2 linked regions of the Elephas maximus indicus genome follow. The protein of the gene in region 2 interacts with the protein of the main gene of each other region in a pairwise test. Links are inferred from orthologs where the notes say so. Each region holds a gene or a part of one and is shown on either strand. Other genes may lie near its edges. The genes, in order: SPINK7 and RABL6.

Region 1 (8,268 bases), on a different chromosome or scaffold from region 2:
AAGGAAAGTTGAGGTGGCCAGCCCCTTAGCTCCTGGTTAGCAGGGCCTGGGATGCAGGGGATTCTGGGTTACTAAGGAGGACGTCTACCACATCTCACGTTTAGTGTCCTTTGAATACAAGTTAGTTTCTAGGCCAGGGGACCAGCCTGTGACTGTGAAATAAAACTCCTTGAACAAGGAACAAATGTGTAGCCATTTCCTTCTGGGATCAGAGCCTAACCTGATATTTTAAATTGTTCAGATAATCACAAAGATAGAAAACAAAAACAAGTGGCCAAAATTTAATGACCTGAAATGATCAGAGAGTTAACGATGAGTGAAGTTGACTTGGTATAAGACAATAAGTACAATGTTGCAGGCCCTTAAACTAGCAGTGGTATCTGCCTAGTTACATTGCCTTCAAAAACACTGAGGAGGCCAAACAAATACCTAAAAAACAAACATGTCCATGGGGTTCTGGTCCAAGTACTGATAGTTTGCACCCTCTATTTTAAAAGCAAGAAAAAATATATATCTTTGTGCTAGTCTCATCCCTCTTAGAGGTATAGATGCTTAGAATCTCCAAGAAACTGAGAATAAATGACTGGCAGCCACCGTTCGCCTAAGAATCAAGCTATATTGAAGTATGCTAGAAGTCATGTAGGAGAGTGGCTTTGATTTTTTTTTTGTGGGGGAGGCAGGGCTTAGGACCCTTCTTCAAAGAAAATATTGTGTGGTGCTCCACTATTTAAAATAATCCAAAGCTGAAGCTGGGGCTGGAGATCATCCCATGTGGTCTCCCTGGGCCCATTTGGTGACTCCTGATATGCCATTACAGAACATCTGGGCTCCAGGGACAGCAGTTTGAACAATAAGCCCTGGATTAGTTGGTTTCCTTCAATTGATAGATGGCAATTGGAGGTTCTATGATGGGATGGGACCCATCCATGCTGGCAGAGCAATTTGGATCCAACTCTGATCTGACTGTGAGGCATTCAGTTGTCTATCCCCACCAGCTGCTTCTGGGTGGGAATGAGTACAGTTAATGGAAAGTTAAGAAGACTCCAGGAAAGGGGAAGGTTCTCAGGGGAGAACACTGGAGCCAGTTTCCTTTGCCTTCATGTGAGGTACTCACAAGCTCTCGGTACACAGGTGGCATTCATTCCCATAGGTGATGTAATCAGAGCCACAAACAGGCAAGTATGTGATGGGGCAGGGGATGGCCACCACTGGGTACTTCTTATAAATGCTGCAGTCCACCTGTGACAGAAACAAGAAAAGGTCCTACTGTTCTCCCAGCCCCCAAGTTAGGCTATCCTGGCCTCTACTGCACAGGCAGCAAGAATGCCATACTAAAAGTCCCAGCTCAGGTATTTCTGATGCTACTGCTACTACCTCTATTAGCACTGCTGTTACCACTATGACAGATGCTAGAACTGCTACTATAGTCACTTAGCAATCGACGAGCATCTTTCTGTCAGAGTTTTCTCTGCCATGGATATGTTGGTTTTTAATCTTCACAACCACTGAATAGATTAGGCTCTACTACTATTCCTATCTAAAAATGGGGAATTTTAGGCTTAGAAAGACAGATAACTTGTATTAGGCAAATGCTGGTAAGTAGTAGAGTTGAGATTTGAATCCAGAGCCTGTGCAATTAACCAGGGTAACTCTGCTCTGCTCTCAGATGTTGTCTCTTTCGTGAGGACTTCACCAACCTCTCAGCTTGAAGTCATCTCTCTTTCCTTTAACACTTGAATAATTACTTAGGATATGGATATTTATATGTATGCCATGCTTTTTAAACAGCCTTCTGGAGAGCAGAGGCCATTTTTTCATGTGTCAGGCTTCCTTATTATCCCTTACAACACACTGAGTTAATCTTACATATACCATTTATAAGTATTTGTTGGATAAATGGAAGTCAATTTAAAAAAAAAAAAACAACAAAAAAACCCTTCGCCTTCAGGTTGATTCCAACTCATAGCGACCCTGTAGGACAGAGTAGAACTGCCCCATAGGGTTTCCAAGGAGGGCCTGGCGGATTCAAACTGCCGACCTTTACGGTTAGCAGCTGTAGCTCTTAACCACTACTCCGCTAGGGTTTCCAACAGGCAATAGGAATTAAAATTAAAATGTTATCCAACGTACTCACCGTTTTTGTAGATGGAGTGCCAGTTTCTGAAAGGGAAATGTACATGGAAATTATAAAAATAAAGCAAAGCTTTGAAATCTCCTTAACTGATGTAAGTTTGGTTCTATACACTTAAGAGTCTTCATTTTCTGAGGCACTGAGGGTCAGCACATTTCCCGTCCTTATACAAAATCCCAGCTGTTGGCTGAGGAAACCAAATGACCAATGGGCCGTAGAGTCACGTAAGCCCTTGACTCAGGCAAGTGAACTGCCCCAATTTTCTTCCTTTATTGACTAAGGAACATCTTCTGGAGCTTCTTGTGTCTTTGATAATGTCTCAGACTCAAGTAGCAATAAGCAGTATTGTAGTCACCACTCCTAAGAGTCTGAAACACCATCTTTGATATTTTCCCTGTCCTAACTGAGATACAGGAATGTAATTAAATACCTTTAAGGTCTCATTTTAACCAAGTAATTTCTTTGCCATCTAAAAGCGTAATTGTTGACTCCTGGCCTTTGGAAAATTGTGTTTTATTTTGATTCTCCTAGACTGACTTGGGGAGACATCCAAGTTTTTCTGCATCTTTGCACTTAAGAATAGTATCTAATAACACCATCCACTTCCAGAGTCATTAAGCAGTGGTAGAATTAAAGAGAAATTATATAGTTAAGCTTTTTTCCATGAATCGAAATCAGAAATTAAAGGGGAAGATATTCACTCCAAGTTGCCCAAATTCCAGCTGAGGCCAAAGATTCTTCCTTCCCAGGCCAGGGAACTTTCTATTACAGAACAGTACATTTTAATCCATATAACCACACAGATGCTCACATCTCATGAGGAAATATTTGGGAAAATAAGCTAAAATGTGCTTTTCCAGACATTCTTGACTCACCTGCACTGTTGCAGAAATGGGCCACCGTACAGAGCAGAAGGACACCCCCAATGATCTTCATGGTGGAGACGACCGTGGTGCAGAGGCTGCTCAGGCTATCACCAGAGCTGCACCAGCCAGGTCCTAGGAGAGAGGCCATGCTTATATGCTAAGACTTGGATTCTCCACCTTTCCTGTGAGGTCATCCAGAGTCAGCGTTGGCCCTGAAAGAATTTCAATCAATGCACAATGTCACACCCTGGGAAGTGTTGTTACAGTCCTTGCACTTAATTGCTACTTCCCATCTGACCAATTTGATTATTTGTGGTGAGTGAGAAGCATTTTTCTTCCTGCCCCCCAGGTGAGGGTGACTACTTAGAATTCTAAACTTCACATAGAAGAATAGATTAAGTATGGGCTACTTGGCCTAGTTGTGAAATAAGTAAAGATTTAAAATTTCCTTTATTACACCAATATTTAGGATATTAAACCCAAATTAGACAGATTACACCTAGGTTTATATTTTAGCTGCTGAAAAAATATTATTTTACTTTTGAGGCAATGAACTTGTGCAGCAACCTGGGGCCTAACAGAGGGAACAGTGACCTTAGCACTTATGAGGCTTGGAGAAGGGCATTGCCATGTTATTTTCTAGCTATGTAATCTTGGATAAGTCATTTATATGCTGCGAGCCTGTATCAATCAGGCAACCTTGGTTATGCTGTGGTAACATATAACCTAAAGATTCCTGTGACTTAAAACAATGTAAGCTTGTCTATTCCTTACTCAAGGTACACACGTATGGTGGTCATTTGAAGGTGCTGCATTGTCTTCATTCTGGATCTCAAGTAGATAGTCACCGTTTGACATATTGTCAGTTGTCGAGGTGAAGTGAAAATGCGTGCTTCAGGGTTTTCTTTTCAGCAATTAAATGTTTCAGCCCAGAAGTGATACCACTGTCCTTTCTCATAACTCACAGGCCAGAACCATCATGTGACCTCACCCAATGGAAGTGATTACATGAGATCTTACCTTGTCCTCTGAGGCCAGAAAAGGGAGAACTGGGTGTAACTGGCAAACAGCACAGAGACCACCTCAGAGCCGTGATGTCATCACCTGTAGAGTGGGGCCTAGCATTAATCACAAGGTCGTTGTTGCATGCCGTTGAGTCGATTTTTGCCTCACAGCAACTCTATGTGACAGAGTAGGACTGCCTCACAGGGTTCTCTAGGCTGTAATCTCTACAGGAGCAGATCACCAGGTCTTTGTCCTCATGAGCCATTGAGTTGGTTTGAACCACCAACCTTTCGGTTGGCAGCTGAGTGCTTAACTATTGTGGCACCAGGGCTCCTTTTTTAGCTACAGTTGAGGTCACTTAATTGCAGTCATTTATGTGAAAGCCTATTCTGAAGCACAGTGCATGAAATGTATATTATTGTGATATCATTATTGTTGAGCCAATAGATTGCTCAACATTAGATTATGAACCGTAGTGTCAACGCGAGCACAGTTGTCCAAATTTCTGCCGCTTACCTGTTAAGCTAAAGAACATATGCATGAAAACCTGGGGAAGACAGTGAGTTCTGTTCCATCAATCCAATGCACCGCAGGTTTATTTTAGTACATTGTGAAACACAGCATCCACATAGGATATTAAGCTAATAATAAATAAAAATGTATAATTCCCTAAAACTTTCACTCTTACATCTCTTTGGGAGATAATGTAATCTAGTGGTTAAGGACATGGGCACTTGGAATCCAATGGATCTAATTTGAAATCTTGCTGCTAATGAATATTGATGGTGTGACTTTGAGTATGTAGACTAACCTCTGGATATCTCAGTTACATCATCTCTAAAATGGAAATAATATTTACCTCACAGGATGATTTTTGAGTATTAAAAGAGATTTTATATATACATATAGGTGTAAATATATGTGTGTATTTATAATATATAATGTATTTCTATGTATATAATGTACATATATACATACGTATATAATTTCTTATGAGCAGCGTTTATGTATATATCTATATATAGATATAGAAAACCAAACGCCAAACCTGTTGCTGTCAAGTCGATTCTGACTCATAGTGAGTCTATAGGACAAAGTAGAACTGCCCCGTAGGGTTTCCAAGGAGCAGCTGGTGGATTTGAACTGCCCACTGTTTGGTTAGAACCATGGCTATTAATCACTGTGCCCCCAGGGCTCCATATAGATACATAGAGATATATATATCCATATGTTTTCAAAAATAACTTGCACTTTACACTTTTTTTTTTTTTTGCTGAACTACACAACTACCCGTACATTATTTTGTAAGAACTCTGGGCTAATTTTCTTTTTTCTTTAAAAACATGTTGCTGACTTCAATTTCTATTTTTGATCACATGGAAATGTCACTTAAGATAGGTATTGACTTTATCTTACTTGCAATTTAAGCCAAAATTATTTACCGGTAGATTCTGGGTTTTTCAACTGTTGAGATAACGCACTACAATTATCAACTTAAATTAATAGGAACAATTGCACAGTTCTGATTATTTATTTTCCAGTTACTGGGGGACTACCAAACTTGATCCATTACTTCTTGACCATGGCTTGTATCTTTATTACACAATTATGATCAAAAGTAACATTTTCAGACTATTTTTATACATACAAGCAGGAGATTAAAGAAAATAAACAGAATGAAAGAAAATGAACATATTAATAAGATTTACTTCTAATATGGGAGGACAGGTAAATAAGGTCAAAATTCATTTATGGAAATGTCATGAGACATGCATTGTACATGCATAGGTGAGCTATGCCAGAACCATTTTATTTAATTTCATCATTTCCACGAGTTATATGTGTGGGTGTGTTATTTACGTGGGCGCATTATTTGCAAAAATGATGGTATGCATATGTGTCTGTACGTATATATATGCCACCCTTGTATATGGTAGATAATAATTTGGAATGTGCTCCTCTTGAGAACTCATTGAAGACGGAATTTTTATTACCTTGTTTTTACCAATGAGTAAGTTGAGGCTTAGAAAATTTAAAGAGCTTTTCAAAGATCATGACACCAACTAATGGAGGACAGGCTGTTGAGTTCAGTTATGGAAAAGAAGGGAAATGAATATCCTAATAAAAAGAGGTACTCGTAAGTTTTACTGTGGAAAAGACATTATGTTTCAGAAAGAGGTGTCTTTCTTGCACTTTGAAAATGTAATTTTAAAAAAGGAAAAGAATGGGAAAGAGATCAAGGATGATCAGGTTGAATTGGGAGGATAGGGTCACTTTTTTTTAATGTTTGTAGCCAAAGAGGAAGGGAATGAGAGAAGCTTGAGGCTACAGCAAAGTCTAGGGTAGACTGTGCATATCTAAAAGCTGAGAGGTAGAAGAAGAAATTTAAGATATATGGTAGAGGGTGGCTAATCAGAGGAGTACAGAAAGGTAGTAGAGGTCCCTGGGTGATGCAAGTGGTTTGAATTCGACTACTAACCTAAAGCTTGGAGATTCGAACATACCAGTGGTGCTATGAAAGAAAGCCCTGGCAATCTGCTTCCATAAAGGTTACAGCAAAAAAAGAGAAAACCTTGTGAGCAGTTCCATTCTGTTGCATATGGGGTTGTGATAAATCAGAAGAGACTCAATGGCAATGGGTCTAGAAACATAGTAAATAAGATTAAGAGCACAGGCAAAACAACATTCCCTCTGACAGAGTAGACAGAGAAGTGTAGATGAGTGTAGAGATGGGGTATTTTGGAAAGTCAGGGAAGGAGAGATGAGGGAGGAACCCATTGCAAGGTAGGCTCCATTTGTTAAGTTCCTTTTTGAAGTGGAAAAATTGTGTTGATCTGGAAGTTTGAGAAGGACGGAGGTTTGGCACAGACATTGATGGGAGTATGTAAAACAGTCAACAACGAATATAAAGAGTAACGACCAATAGACAAAATCACCATTAGATTTTAACAGGCCCCATCACTACTAGGAGCTCTGGCGGCACAGTGCTTAAAGTGCTTGGCTGTTAACCAAAAGGTCAGCAGTTCGAAGCTATCAGCCACTCCTCGGGAGACAGATGTGGCAGTCTGCTCCCATAACGATTACAGCCTTGAAACCTTTATGGGGCAGTTCAACTCAGTCCTACAGGGTTGCTATGAGCAGGAATCGACTCAACGGTAGTGGTTTTGGTTTTGGTTTTAAGCAGTACTATTCTGCATCATAATAGGTTGTGACACCGAGTGAGGGATGGGGAAAAGTAATTTTGTGGACATTGTACGTCACAGACTTGAGGGGGGCTGAAAGACTGAGTCAGGAGATGGCAAAGCTGGGAAGAGATTCAAGTGCTCCAGAAGGATCTGGTGGACTGCTTAAGGTGCGAACAGTTAAGGGTTTAGAAGTCAAAGTTCAGGCAACACGTGGGAAATATGAACTATCATTTAGGGAGGCTGTGCTGGGAGGCAAAGTGGCAGATTTTATTTCTCAGAGGTGGGGTGGTACAGTGATGATAATTGTTAGGCGTAGCCAAAGATAAAGTAGGTAAAGGAAGGGTGGAGATAAAGGTCACTAGATTCAAAAGTGTGGCAAGTGAGGTCAGGGGATGAGTGTGGGGTTGCTTTGTTTTATGGCAGCTGTTTACATGGAGAGGACTTTTTGTTTCTCTAAATCTGGTTCCTGAGTTTTTCTTTTAGCTTTTCTTCTTCTCCTTTTTTTTTTTTTTTTTTAAATTGTGCTTTAGATGAAGGCCTACAGAGCAAATTAGTTTCTAATTAGGCAATTAATACACATATTGTTTTGTGACATTGGTTGCCAATCCCACGATGTGTCAACACCCTCCCTTTCTTGATCTTGGGTTCCCCATTTCCATTCTTCTAGCTTTCCTGTCATCTCCTGCCTTCTCGTCCTTGCCCCTAGGCTAGTGTGCCCATTTAGTCTCTTGTACATGGTTGTGCTATATGTATTATTATTTGTTTTATGGACCTGTCTGATCTTTGGCTAAAGAGTAACCCTCAGAAGTGACTTCAGTACTGAGTTAAAAGGATATCTGTCTGGGGGCCATACTCTCAGGGTTTCTCCAGCTTGGTCAGACCAGTAAGTCTGGTCTTTTTTATTGTGTGTGTGTGAGTTAGAATTTTGCTCTACGTTTTTCTCCAGCTCTATGGGGACCCTGTATTGTGATCCCTGTCAAAACAGTTGTTGGTGGTAGCTGGGCACCATCTAGTTGTGCTGGACTCAGTCTGGTGGAAGCTGTGGTAGTTGTGGTCTATTAGTCATTTCCACTAATCTTTC
Region 2 (7,255 bases):
TGTCATATTCACAGGTACAGGGTTAGGACTTCAACACATAGTTGGGAAGAGGGGGACACAATTCAATCTGTAGCAGCCAGTGTTTCATGAAGTGTATGAGCGTTTTAGGAAGAAACAGTTGGCTGACAGTGAAGATGAGGTCTGACAGCTGGCTGCTGGACTTTGTGCCCTGGGAGTCCACTGGTCACCTTGGTGGGACAGACCACCCCACACTTCCCTCTGTCCCCAGATGAACATGAGCCAAGCAGAGGCATCCTTCATCGAAGAGCGGAGGGCACGGGAGAACCGGCTCAACCAGCAGAAGAAGCTGATTGACAAGATCCACACCAAAGAGACCAGTGAGAAATACCGGCGGGTGAGGCCCAGCCCCTCACCCCATGCAGCCAGGGAGTGAGCAGACTCAGCTCAGGGCACCCCTGGGTCCACTCCCCTGTGGGGACTGCTGCTCACCCTCCTTTCCCCTGCAGGGCCGGCGGGACCTGGATTTCCCCTCCAACTTGATGAGCACAGAGGGCCTGAAAGGTGAGTACTTGGCTCTGCCCATCCCACGAGCATCTGGAGAGGTCACCCAGCCACATCCCCCAGAAGGCCAGGTGTAAGCCATGGTCACCAGCAAGGGAGACAGATAAGCCCCTGCTTCTCCCTGGCTGCACCCAAAGAGGCCAGAGCCAAATGGCCACACACACACTGGGATGCGACTGCTCCCAGGCTCTGGGCCACATGTGGCTGAGCTTCAGGCATATGTAGATACTGTCCACCAGCTCCCCAGGGCCCGGTCACCCAGTGAGTCCTCAGAAAGGATGAGTTCCTTGGGCCCCGGGCCTGTCTCCAAGCAAGAAGCACCAAGCTGACCTGGGGCATTCCTGAAGGACTGGACCGAGGACAGGTGTCTTAGCCAAGGTTCTCTAGAGAGACAGAATCAGTGAGATGGATGAATAGGCAGACAGACAGATAGATACATAGACAAAGACTGATTGATTTTAAGGAACTGGCTCACACGATTATGATTGTGGGAATTCTGGCAAGTCCAAAATCCGTAAGACCAGGCAACAGGCTGGAGACTTCTGCAGGCTTGTGTCACAAACCCATGGGTCAAGTGACAGAAAGAGTGAACAGAGAAATTCTACCAAAGTATCTATTTACAGTCTGGAGGCAGAACACACCCTGAGGAAACTCCCTTTTTGCTCTAAAGGCTTCAGCTGACTGGATGAGGCCCACCCACATTGTAGAGGGTCATCTGCTTTACTTGAGCCCAGATGATTAAATCACACATAACTGCTACAGAACAGCCACTAGACTAGCGTTTGCCCAAACAACTGTGCACCAGAGTCCAACCACGCGGACACATAAAACTCACCATCACAAGGAGGGCAGGTCACCTGGCTCCTAGGTTCCAGGACCTTGGGGTGTCCTCCCTGGAAACCCAAGCACGTATGGAAGCTTCTGGGGGCCTGGCGCCTGTGCCCTTGCAACATCCCTGCACACCAGCTGCCCATTGCACTCTGCTCTGCCCAGTGAAGCGAAAGGAGACCTCCAAAGCTGACATTGAATACCAAGCGGATGTGACCACGATGGTGGAGCGTGTGAAGAGTGCCGTGCGCTGCTCCCACCTCTGGGTAAGGCCCTGGCTCTCCCTGGGTGGGGTGAAGGGCCAGTGAGGTCTGGCCCAGCCCCAGGCCCCGGCCGATTGGGTCTGCAGGTCCTCTGAAATGGGCACAGAAAGCTGCACCCTCTGGGCCTCTCTGGCATGCAGGAAACGGCCAGTGGGGCAGCTCAGCATAGAGGCTACCCCGGGACATGTTTGGGGCACCTGAGCACCATTCCAGGGCCATGCAGAGCTTGCTCAGTGGAGGCTCCAAGCACCGAGGGCCCAGCCTTTCTCTCCCACTCTGGCCTTGTCCCAAACTGCTGGAATCACAGGAGCAGCTGCCTCTCCATCCCTCCCCGCCCCTCTTATTTTTGTCGAGTCTGGGTTATCACCCTTACACCCTGAGTTTCCATTGCCGGCCCTGACGTGAGCTTGTCCATGCTCGGACAAGCGACCCAAAGCACCTGGATGTCTCAACGTAGTCTCCTCATCTGCGAGAGGCCATCTGCCCTCTCTGAGGTGTTAGGAGCCTCTCGTGCAGTGGCACATGGGAGGCACCCTGCCAGGGGCTGACCCCAGCAAGCCCTGGGTGCGCGGCAATGGGTGACACCGTGACCCAGCCTGGAGCACAGAGGCAGCCCTGGCACTGGAGAGGGCCATGCCTCCTCAGCTCATTCCTGCTTCTCTCCCCGCTGGACTGGCCAGGACATCGCTGGCCGGTTCCTGGCACAGAGGAACACGGAGGAGAACCTGGAGCTGCAGATGGAGGACTGTGAGGAGAGGCGGAAGCAGCTGGAAGCCTTGATGAAGAAGCTGGAGCTGGAGCAGGCGATGCTCAAGTTCCGCCAGATGCCGGGCTCTGTCAGGTACCCCAGGGAGGTGTCCCGAGGGTGAGGGCTGACTGCTAGCACCCGTGGACAGCCCCTGTGGCCAGGGACCAGATGCCGGGCTCCGTCACGTACCCCAGGGAGGTGTCCCGGGGGTGAGGCTCGCCTGCTAGCACCCGCGGACAGCCCCTGTGGCCAGGGACCAGGCTTGCTCCTTGCGAGCCTGTGAGCACCCTGTGAGGGAAGCCCAGCCAGGGACCTGCACTGGCCTACACTGGGGCTCCTGAGCCCCTAAATGTAGCACGGCATTCACCCTCAGCTCCTGCACCCCCACCGTCCTCACAGCTTTGCGTCCCTTGAGAATAAGATGAAGGACATGCTCAAAGAGGAGGAAGATCGGCTCCAGCTGGCCCTCAGCAACGTTAGCAAGAGCCAGAAGCTCCTGCTGACCATCCAGACGGGCGTCGACAACCTCTACATTCGGCTCATCGGCATCGCCACGCCACCTGGCCAGGTGCCTGCCTGGGGAGGAGCCACCCCCACCGAGAGGGTCGTGGAGTGGGCCCGGCGGGCATCAGACCCTCCTCTTGCCCACAGAAAGAAGCTGTGGTCTCCAACCCCCTAGATGTGTACAGCAAGCTGGCGTATTGTGAGAGGAAGCTCATGTACCTGGTGGACAGAGTGCAGATGCTGACCAAGACTGAGGAGGTAGCCTGTCTGGGAGGTGAGCCTCGAGCCCACCGCCCGCTGTGGACCTACAAAGCTGAGGGAGTTCTGCATGCCTGCAGGTTGGCACGAAGGTGAGGGACATCCTGGAGTCCTCCACGCTGAAGGAGAAGCAGAACACCAAGATCAGCTTTGAGGACCTGGAGGAGGATGTGATAGGTATGGGCCGGCCAGAGCGAGGCCAGGGTGGGGGGCTCGCGGCCGGGGGCGGGTTTGGCTGCCTGCAGTCTGGACGGAGCGTGGACCAGGCTGGAGCGGGACGAGACCCCGGGTCACAGCGGCACAGGCTTTGGTGGTGGCCTCGCCCTGTCCCGCGGGGCAGCGGTGGTGGGAGGGGGCGCCAGGGCCCGGGAGGGGCTTCGGGGTGCCGGCTTCCCGCGCTGCCCCTTCCCTCCTAGAAACCTTCCAGTTCGCCGACGTGGACCACAGCTACGTCCCTTCGCGGGCCGAGATCAAGAGGCAGGGCCAGCGGCTGATAGAAGGGAAGCTCAAGATGGCCAAGAAAAAGAAGAAGTAGCCCCTTCCCCTCTCCCGCGCCCTCCACCCCTTCGCCTGCGTTTTATTATCCAAATAAACGTTTTTCCAGGACGGACGGGGGTCGATGGGTGAGACGAGACTCTCAGAGAAAATAAGAATTGGGGAGACACAGGTCTTGGGGTCACGCTGGGAAGTTCTACGGGGAGCTGTGTGTCTGGGCCAGGGCTGGGGGCGAGGGCGAAGTGGGTGGTGTCGGGGCTGAGACGCGGACGGGGGTGTCCGGGGCGGCTGGAAACTCGGGGGGCAAACGGCCTGCAGGGGTGCGGCGGCGCCCCCCAGCCCCCCCGCCCCCCCACGGCCCCCTGCACCCGGGGCGCATGCGCGCTTCGTCCCGCGCGTGGCCCTCGCGGCGCCCCGTAGCCACCGCCTCCCTGCGGCCCCCGCGCCAGCGCCAAGATGGCGGCGCCGACGAGCGGGGAGCGGCCTCGCCGGAGGCCGCGGGGCCCGGAGCCGAGCCGCCGCGCCTGAGGCCGCCCTCGGCCGCCGGGAGCCCAGCCCAGCCCAGCCGGCCGCCGGGCCATGGTGCGCGCCGCCCCACGCCGCCGCCGCCGCTGCTGAGCTCGCCGGCAGCGCCCGGGCTCGGGCGTCCGAGCGGGGAGGATGTTCTCCGCCCTGAAGAAGCTGGTGGGGTCGGAGCAGGCTCCGAGCCGGGACAAGAACATCCCCGCCGGGCTGCAGTCCATGAACCAGGCGCTGCAGAGGCGCTTCGCCAAGGGGGTGCAGTACAACAGTGAGTGCGGGGCAGGGCCGGGGCGCCCGCGCCCGCGGCCCCCGAGACGAGCTGTAGAGACCCGAGCCGGGCGTGCGGGGAGAGCGGGGGCTGTGCAGACCCGGAGCCCGTTGAGCCTCCGGTGGCCCTCGTTCAGACCCGGCCGGTCCGTAGACGCTGGTCCGCGGGGCGCCCCACGAGCGCTGGAGAGTTAGTATGAAAAAGAAAAAAAGAAAGATGTCGTTTGAGGGGGCGTAGGGGTCGCGCTGTGCCCCGGGAAGCCAGCAGGACCAGCAGGCGCGGTGCCTTCTAACTCTGCCGAACCTGGAAGGGCTGGCCCTGCCCTGGTCGCCGCCCCGGCGCCAGAAAGTGTAGGAAACGCTGGTTCTCGGTCTGCGGCGAGAGGTAACCGCGCCTCCTCGCCTCGGGAGGTTTTGGCAGACTTTGTTTTTGAGATTCGCTGAGCCCTTACCCTGGTCGCTGTGAGTCGGAATCGACTCGACGGCACCGGGTTCGGTGCCCTGTGCCAGGGCTCTGCAGGCAGGAACCCTCAGGGACGAGAAGGGATGCCCCGCCGGGGTCCTCGAGGACCCGACGAGCCTGGAGGGGCTGCCCCTCGTCTCCTGGCGCTCTCCTCTGCACGGTGACTGCTTCCTGAGCAATGCTCACACGGTAGGAAACCCGTTTGTTTAGTTTTAAACAGTGAAATTCGTGGAAGGAGATCTCAGGAAGTGCTGGAGCTCCCTGCTGGCCTGCGGTTCTCCGATCTTGCCTTGTCTGAGAAGGGATCGTTACGTAACGGCAGAGGGGAGCTGTTTCGGCTCTGACGGAAGGGGTGCTGGGGTTCTGAGCCGGTGAACTGTGTCACCACCTGGAAGAGGTGCCCTAAAACCCAGGCGGCTGAGGTCGTCTGAGCTAAGGGGTTTCTCTTTGTTGACGTGGCATTGAGTCTGAAGACAGATAACAGCTTTGCCACAGTTCTTGCCTTCTTGGAGCAGCATTTGTAAGGGATATATTTAGAAAAGCCCCAGAAGGCATGAGATTCTTGCTTGTTATCGTGGGAGACATCTCTTCCGGCCGGGAAGGAGGAGTTACTCACAGACGCCCAGAGAGCCAGGCTGTTCCCATCCAGATGGTATAAATTATGTAAATCCCAGCTCCCAGACACTGACCGTGCTCTTGACCTCTTTTGAGTTTTCTGTCTCCCTTGCTCTTTCCTAGCAGTATTTAAAGGCTTTATGCTGCCCTCTGCTTTGAAATTGTTTCCCTGGTGCTGCTGAGAGATTTTGGACTCTTTCCCCTGCTTTGTGCACTTGAACGGGGCCCTCAGAAATGGGTCAGGAAGCCTTGTGTGCGTGTCAGACAGCTTGTCTCTGCCGTGCTGTGCTTGGAGTTCTGAACACGTTTCTTACACGTTCAGAGAAGAGACTATTAAGTTAAAATGCTCAATTACACAAATCTTTACAATCTATGCTTGGATTCCTTATTTTATTTAATGTTATCACTTTTAATAATATCTGAGTGGTGCAGACGGCTAAGCACTTAGCTACTAACCCAAAGGTTGTCCACTCAAACCCGCCCAGAGGCAACTCAGAAGACGCCTAGCAATCTGCTTCCAAAAGGCCACAGCCTTGAAAACCCTGTGGAGCAGTTCTACTCTCTGCACACATGGAGTCGCCCTGAGTCAGAGTCAGCTTGACAGCGACTGTCAACAACTTTTAATGTTGTTTAAAACTTAATTACAGTCTCTTGGAAGTTAGACCTGGAGACCGTTCACCTCATCCCAGTTGGGCTGGGACTGAAAGGGCAGCGGAGTTGTCCCAGAGTAGAGGACCACATCTGGAGTGCTTAGAGCAGGTCATGACCTCCCAGAAGCCAGCGAAGGGTGCTGAGATGGAGAGAAACCTAGATTTGGCACCTATGTTACATCTTAGAGGGATGTTGTCCCAAGAGTTGAATAATAAGCAGTTTTGAAACTTTTTGATTTCCTGTATTAGTCTGTAGACAAGAAAGTTCCTAGCATTTGTTTTCCCAAATATCTTACTTAGAGGAACAAACCCGCAATATACCAAGTATAGATTCAGGAATTTTATAGCTAAGAGTTGTATTAACTGTTACTCTGGGGGTGGGGGTGTAACTCGTTTTCCTGTAGATTGGCTGTGTTAACAGGAGCAACTCCTGTCACAAACGCAGAGTCCAAGCACACCTGTTACATTTAGAATAAAAAATGTGGCGAGTGGGCCTGTCCCTCCCTGCTGTGCCCGGACGTGGCTTCCCAGGTGGGGACGTTTTAGCCAGAACAGCCTGTTGCAGGAGGGAATGCCTCGCTCACGGACTGCTCAGTAGACTCGCTCAGGACCAGGGTGCTCGCGGACTGCTCAGTAGACTCACTCAGGACCAGGGTGTGGCCACAGAAAGCTCCTCCAGACATGGGACAACAGGGTCCTTTCTGGTTAGAGAGCAGTGTTACGGTTTTAAACCGGGAACTTTTGAACGGCCAATGTCAGTGTGAAACAGCCTTCCCTGTAGGAAACAAGCAGCTGTGTCCAGCCAGTGACTCAACCTGCCCCGGCTGGCCCGCTGGCAAATCCCCAAGCCTTCACTGCCTGGACGTGCCACATCTTTGTGAGTTTTCCTTCTTTTGCGTTTGTTCGCTCTGCACATACTTACTGAGTGCTCATCATTGAAAAACCAAACAAAAGTCTCTGCCCCTGTGGTGCTTACATCCTGGTGATGGGGCGTAGACAGTGAGCAATAAAGATAATAAAGGAGAGGATTTATGGTCTGTTTGAGGTATTATGTGCTACATGGGATAAGGGCTTGGGCGTGCCCAGGGAAGGCAGAGGGATTGCAGTTGTGAGTGGAGGA

Evidence for each region.
Region 1: the proteins of RABL6 (region 2) and SPINK7 interact in binary tests that used the Homo sapiens proteins (3 or more experiments, as listed by UniProt). The link is inferred for Elephas maximus indicus from reciprocal best matches to the Homo sapiens genes RABL6 and SPINK7.

Annotation. Positions count from the first base shown.
Region 1 is NC_064820.1:163,062,645-163,070,912, reverse strand, and holds the start of SPINK7 (serine protease inhibitor Kazal-type 7), read right to left. Parts: upstream 3,068-8,268; coding exon 3,007-3,067; intron 2,161-3,006; coding exon 2,135-2,160; intron 1,240-2,134; coding exon 1,115-1,239; intron 1-1,114. UniProt on the Homo sapiens protein: Probable serine protease inhibitor.
Region 2 is NC_064827.1:1,610,818-1,618,072, reverse strand, and holds the start of RABL6 (rab-like protein 6), read left to right. Parts: upstream 1-4,071; 5' UTR 4,072-4,278; coding exon 4,279-4,408; intron 4,409-7,255. Other genes in the region: CCDC183 (coiled-coil domain-containing protein 183), read left to right, coding at 230-355, 468-522, 1,516-1,616, 2,294-2,454, 2,761-2,929, 3,013-3,123, 3,204-3,300, 3,540-3,658. UniProt on the Homo sapiens protein: May enhance cellular proliferation. May reduce growth inhibitory activity of CDKN2A.